Macaca fascicularis: one gene and its partner. The protein of the gene in region 2 interacts with the protein of the main gene of each other region in a biochemical or structural test. Links are inferred from orthologs where the notes say so. Each region holds a gene or a part of one and is shown on either strand. Other genes may lie near its edges.

Region 1 (2,945 bases), on a different chromosome or scaffold from region 2:
CCTATGGTGCAGCCGCCTCTCATCGCAGCTGGTTGCTTGGCCCCGGGGCCCCGGCCACAGCAGGGCTCTGCCTTGGAGGAGGGTTTCCTGGGGTTAATGCTGACCCCGCAGGGCCCCTCCGGCTTTGATGAGCTGAGGCCTGAGTGCTTCCTGCCCTGGCTCCCGCTACCTCCAGACCACTCAGGGGTTCTCATTTTGAATCTTGGTGCCCCTCATGATAGTGGCATGACCGCTCTGTGCCTCAGTTTCCCCCGATGCCAACCTGGGCTGCTCAGTGGCCTCTCGGGGCCAGGGTGAAGTGTGGGGACAGGGCTGTGCTGCCTCTGGCTTGGCAGGAGCAGGTTGTGGCTGTGTGAGGGGCGGGATGGGGGTCTGCACAGCTGCTGCTCGTCACAGACCCTGGTCTCCGGGAACAGCCCTGGGGGCCAGTGCCCCGGGACTCTCCCTGAGCGTCAGCCCCCACACCCCCCAGCAAAGTGGCCAGAGCACATCCTCAGGTGGGAACACGCTGGCATTGAGATATTTATTCACAGATGGGAGTGCTGGGGGCGGGCTCCTGCCCCCAGAGGGGATGTGGGGTGTGTGCCAGGCGGGGAGGGCTGCAGGGCTCCTGGCCTCTGTCCTGGCTTCGTGGTCCTGACAGCTCTGGGCCAGCCTCAGGCGCTGGGAGCGTACTGTAGCACCAGCCTGTCAAAGTCGTTCTCCTTCAGCAAGACACATGGCGACACAGGGTGGGGGCGGGGTGTGGGGAGACGGGTGGAGGGAGAGAGAGAGGGCACATGTGAGCCCAGGCTGAGCTCCAGGCGCCCTCTGGCCTGGCTCTCAGGGACAGGCCACCCCTGCCACTCACCTTGGCCTGGTACTCCTTGATGAAGGGATGGGACCTGTGGGCGTCCTTCAGCTGGGACAGGTATCGGTTTGTCACCTGCAGGGGAGGCAGGAAGGCAGGTGAGTCGAACGTGGGGACCCCACGGTGGCTCTGACCTGCAGCACGGGGTGGATGGGGGTGAGAGCCACAATACCCCAGGGGGCTCCTCATCCTGCCTTGGGACTGGGCTGATCTCAGAGAACCTTCAGGGTGGGGGTGGAGGGATGGGTCGGCCCCTGACAAGGCGCTGGCACGGAGCTGGCCTCTGTACGTGGTAGGGAATGTACCGTGGGTTCAGGGGAGCAGGTTGGGCAGGGCCCCAGGTGAGGATGGGTTGAGGGGGCGCAGGGTTTGTGAGGGAGGCAGGCTGCGGTGGGCACACTGTGTGCAGAGCTTTCCCAGAAGCCTAGGGATTAGGGCCTGGATCCCAGGATGGGGTCCCAGGGTCGGGATATTAGGGTTGGCCTGGAGCCCTGGGGGCCACTTACCTCAGGGGGTTTGCCCAGGTGCTGGGACAGGACAATGAGGTTGACCAGTGTCTCCGGGTAGCCACTGTCCTGGAGACACAGGCAGACACAGGCAGGCAGGGTCAGCCACTCCAGCCCCCATGCCTGCCCGTCACCCCCACCTTGGGCAGGACCACACAAGGTCACCTCCTCAGAAGTGGGGTGGGATCGACACTGCCAGAGTCCCCCTGCCCACTGCTCTGCAAGGTGATCTCAGATGATACGGTGCCAAGGGGCCAGCCACCTCACTGAGCCTCAGTTTCCCCATCTGTGGTCCAGCCTGGGGCGTGACCCCTCGTTTGTAGAGGGAAGGGTATATTTGTCTCATACATCTCAAAGCAATGGGGCCCAGGCCCAGATGGCCTCAACTCCTCCTGCACAATGAACCCTGAGGCCATGGGCGGACCTGCCACGCCTCTGGCTCCCAAGGAGCCTTGAAGGAAACCTCGGCAGGGGACATTGCCTGACCCACTCACTCTAGGCTCCCGGCACACAGGAGCCTACGAAACACCTAGGCCAGGAGACCCAGCCAGAGCCCCGGTGTCTGCTTGGAGCACAGATGCACCAGCCAGGATGGGCCCAGAGCCCAGCCTGCCCACAGCGGCCGATGGCAGGGCACCTTTTTGGAGAGCGAACTTTTCTGAGCCTCAGTCTCCACCACGAAGGGGGACACCAGCTTGTGCTCACAGGAGCAGCCATGAGTTGGCTCCAAAGGTAAGTGGGGGGACCTGAGTGCCTCCCAAAACTCAGCAAGAATGCAGGGTAACCACAGCCACAGGGAGGCCACCAGGGCCAACGGGCACGGACAGCCAGTCCCAGGTGGTGTTTCAGCAGACAAGGACACAAGGGAGTCATCTAACTGGTGAGTCACGGAATGCGTCACCTGAGAGGTGTAACAAAAGCCCCCAGAGGATGTGGCCATGAACACAGAACACGCATCCAAGTGTTCTCAGGTGGCAGTGAGGGGCAGGGTGGTGGAGGAAGGCGCCAGTCTCGCCCCTGGGGCAGCGAGGGCCACACAGCCTGTCTGAGATGCTGAGTTCCTGACCAGCCCTGACTGCTCAGAGCTAAAGATGGACGCTGCCCAGGAGGAGCAGCACCCAGCCTGGGATGGGGCCAGCCTGACACCCCTTGGCCTGCCCTGCTCTGCAAACAACTTTCTGATAACTCAGCCCCTGGAAAGTCAGACAGGGAGGAGGGCTTCACCAGTGTTTGTCAGTAGATTAAAACTGTTTCTCAGCCAGGCACAGTGGCACACGTCTATCATCCCAGCACTTTAGGAGGCCAAGGAGGGTAAGAATTGCTTGAGCCCAGGAGTTCAAGACTAACCTGCACAACACAGTGAGACCCCATTTCTAACCAAAAATACAACAATTAGCCATGTGTGGTGGCATACCCTGTTTCAAAAAACAAACAAATAGGCCGGGCGCGGTGGCTCAAGCCTGTAATCCCAGCACTTTGGGAGGCCGAGACGGGCGGATCACAAGGCCAGGAGATCGAGAGACGATCCCGGCTAACACGGTGAAACCCCGTCTCTACTAAAAAATACAAAAAAACTAGCCAGGCGAGGT
Region 2 (3,500 bases):
TTTCCACTGGCTTTCCACGGTAGATGGGCCGATATGATGCAGCACAGATGTCAAAGGGGTTGTGCATGTCATAATTGAGCTGATAGGCATCTGCGGGATTCTTCTCACAGGCAGACAGGATTTTTCGGGTCTAGGAAAAGGAAGGAGTATTTTATTTAGGAGGATGGAAAGCTGCAGACAACACCTCAAAAGGATCCCATCACCATGGTTTGGTAGTTCCGTTGATGTGAGATACAACTGTACTAGGTGAAAAGAGGTCCCAACCTCTGTACTGGATGTATGTGAAGGGTTAACAATCACCATTCCTATTGTATCAAACTTTCCCCTCCTTAATACAAAAGTGGCTCCATAATCTAGACCCACATTCCTCCACCAACTCTGGAGATTATCAGGATCAGGTCCTAGAAAGGGTTAAAACAGACTTCCATCACCCAAAAAGAATGCATTTGGAGGACACAAGTAATGAGATGTGTATGTGAAGCTTTGTGGTGGTTGTGATGGGATATCTGGAGCTTAAGGACAGGACTGGGGTTACTTTCAGGTGCAGTGGAGCTATTCTAGGTTGCACAGCACTCTTAGACAATTGTCATGTCTCAATAAACTATTAATTTTCCAGGAAAAAAGGAAGCACCAAGTCAGGAAGTAAACAGAAGGTAGCATTCTGTTGGCTCTTTTTGTTGAATGTTGTTATTTACTGCTTTGTTTCAGAGGCAAGGACCTTGGTCTGTTCCCTCCATGTAAGAGTTGATCTGGCTTCCCTATGGTCACTGAAGGAGCTCCATCTACCTGTTGCGCCACCTCAGGCTTGGGCCCGAGTTCTAGTAGGCGCCGAGCAAAGGTGGCAGCTGTCTTGAAGTTCTTGAGCTTGAAGAAGAGATTGAGGGCTGTACGCAGCACCAGGATCATGTGCACAGGCTGCAGGTTTGAGTGGGTGAAATAGGCTGCCATCTGGTGGACAGAAAGAGGAACACATGCCAGGTTGATGCTACACCTGGTAGAGGTCATTTCTAAGCTGCTACACATGCACAGAAAACACAACACAACACAACAGGATGGGTTATAAAGCAGAGAGGTCTTCTGCCTCCTAGGTATGGAGGACTGGTGAGATGAGGAAGTAGGGTGAAGAAATGTATCCTCCCCTCATAGAAATGAAGGGCCTAAATTTCTCTTCGTCCCCACTCAGATCTGGGTTTGAAATTAAAAGAATTCAAACCTAGTGAAGGGTGAAGGGAAGGACGTCTCTGTTGTACTCAGGGTCCTATAGATCTTACCTCACATATGCGCTTCTGCTGTTCTAGAGTCTCTTTGGGCAGCTTCTTCCTTTCTATCTCCATGGACAAACCCACAATGTACTCACGGCAAATGGTGATGAGCTGCTGGGCCTGTAGAGGAGGCAGGTGGTCAGGATACAGAGACAAGAATGTGGGAGTGCCCAGAACTGGGACAGTGGCTAGACCCTCTTACCTCTGCAATCTCTTGTTTATTGTCCACAACAAGAAGTGGCACACTGAGAAGGATGGAACGGAATTTTTCCACAGCCTCCTCAAATTTGCCAACTGTGGTGAGCTGGTAGCACAGCTGCAACCGTTGGATGAGGTCATTAAGCTTCAGGCCCACAGCTGGTACACCATTCTTCAGCCCTGCATCCTTCCTGGAAAGGGAAAAGTAGGAAGAAGACGGGATAGTCAGTAGCCAACTAGGATCCAATTTCCTTTTCTGGCAAACATCCTCATAGCTACCCTCCTGTCTCCTGTCAAAAGTAGCTGCTGTCAAAGACAGCAGATGTAAACCAAACCCCATAGAGTAACAAGCCAAAGATCTTTTTTTCTACTGGAAAACCCTAGCTCTGAAAGAATTCTGACTATGTCACTGAGGCTACCATCTGAAATATCGACCATAACTTGGAACAGATGAAAGCAAAGAGCGAAGAGCCTTACCAGTTGCGATTAGGATATCCATACATGGGGGGTAGGCAGGGCAGAGCCTGATAGGTTGTGCGGCCTCGGGCATATGTCTGTAGGAACAGTTGCTTGTAGGGGCCAAACTGGATTACCCCTACTTGGTCATGAAGGAGCTGGAACAGAAGGAAAGAAACAAGGATTTTGGCCCTGCTGCATAAAAAGCTACTTTTCCTTGGGCAAGGTAATTAACTTCTCTGTTCACGTTTCCTCATCAGTAAAATACATTTAATTGTAAGATCTACCTCATTTAATAATACCTATTAAAGTGTTTAGGATAGTGCCTGGCACATAGTGAACATTAAATAAACGTTAGCGGTTATTGCAATGTTATCATTATTGTTGTTGTTATAACAATACTGGCTTAGTGTTCAAAACAGACCTCTGCTTGGGAAGGGGTACTTATCTCACTGATGTGAGCCAGAAAGCAAGCTATAAATGGGTGGAAGATGACTGAAGGATCTGCCCTAAAAGATTACTAGGCCAAGTGGAAGGCAGATAACAGAAAGTCAAGTGTACTTAACAAAGAGTTTTCATGAAAAATATACACCTTTGCCCTTGCGGGTAGGATAATTTCACTTGATTAAAATGAGTCAACCATCTCCCTGGGACCCTGGGCTAGGCACATTCAAGAGGAAAAGCCAAGGTTACTTACCCGCATGGCTGTTTCGAAAGAGCCTGCCAGGATGTGATCAACTGGAAGCTGAGAGTTATTACACCAGATCTAACAAGAAACAAGAAAACCCAAGCCAAGTGAAACTTTGTTCTTCTCTATTCTCCAACACCTGTTATACACTAATCGAGTATTAGCCACTCATCCCTGCTGGTTTCTTCCTGCTTACCTGAGTTGGACTTGTTCCCTTGGTTGGGGGCACAAAGAAACCATCTTCAGCCCCACCAGCTGCCCCAGGGGATATATCCTAGGGGAAAACCAAAAATGGAGTATTGAGTAATTTTTTTTTTTTTGAGACAGGGTCACACTCTGTCACCTAGACTGGAGTACAGAGGCATGATCTCGGCATACTGCAACCTCTGCCTTCCATGCTCAAGCAATCCTCCAACCTCAGCCTTCCGAGTAGCTGGAACCACAGGCACAAGTCACCACACCTGGCTAATTTTTGTATTTTTTTTGTAGAGATGGGGTTTTGCCATGTTGCCCAGGCTGTTCTCCAACTCCTGAGTTCAAGCGATCTGCCTGGCTCAGCCTCTTAAAGTGCTAGGATTACAGGCATGAGCCACCGTGCCCAGCCAAATTGAGTAATTTTTTAGGCCATTCAAGCACTTTGTTCTGTTGAATCTAGAACACAACCATTTACATTGTTCCCTGCCTCCACTGAGGAAGAGGGGTGATAGTTGTGGGAGAAGACTGCCAAAAGAGGAGCCACCTCACCAGTGACAAAATGACTTATCAAAAACTCCAGGTGCTGCCTTCTCATAAGCTGCTGCTGGAAGAACGCTGATTACCTCATTCTTCTTTCTTTCAATGGGAGTTAAGCATCAGATTAGAGATAAGTCCTACATCCTCTCCTCTTTGAGCATATC

The links.
Region 1: the proteins of COPA (region 2) and COPE form a complex in vitro, tested with the Homo sapiens proteins (3 studies listed by BioGRID, with this or other methods). The link is inferred for Macaca fascicularis from reciprocal best matches to the Homo sapiens genes COPA and COPE.

Annotation. Positions count from the first base shown.
Region 1 is NC_088393.1:19,302,548-19,305,492, forward strand, and holds the end of COPE (coatomer subunit epsilon), read right to left. Parts: intron 1,426-2,945; coding exon 1,357-1,425; intron 926-1,356; coding exon 851-925; intron 705-850; coding exon 657-704; 3' UTR 501-656; downstream 1-500. UniProt on the Homo sapiens protein: The coatomer is a cytosolic protein complex that binds to dilysine motifs and reversibly associates with Golgi non-clathrin-coated vesicles, which further mediate biosynthetic protein transport from the ER, via the Golgi up to the trans Golgi network.
Region 2 is NC_088375.1:100,765,883-100,769,382, reverse strand, and holds part of COPA (coatomer subunit alpha), read right to left. Parts: intron 2,879-3,500; coding exon 2,801-2,878; intron 2,683-2,800; coding exon 2,614-2,682; intron 2,075-2,613; coding exon 1,938-2,074; intron 1,652-1,937; coding exon 1,465-1,651; intron 1,383-1,464; coding exon 1,272-1,382; intron 949-1,271; coding exon 787-948; intron 131-786; coding exon 1-130. UniProt on the Homo sapiens protein: The coatomer is a cytosolic protein complex that binds to dilysine motifs and reversibly associates with Golgi non-clathrin-coated vesicles, which further mediate biosynthetic protein transport from the ER, via the Golgi up to the trans Golgi network.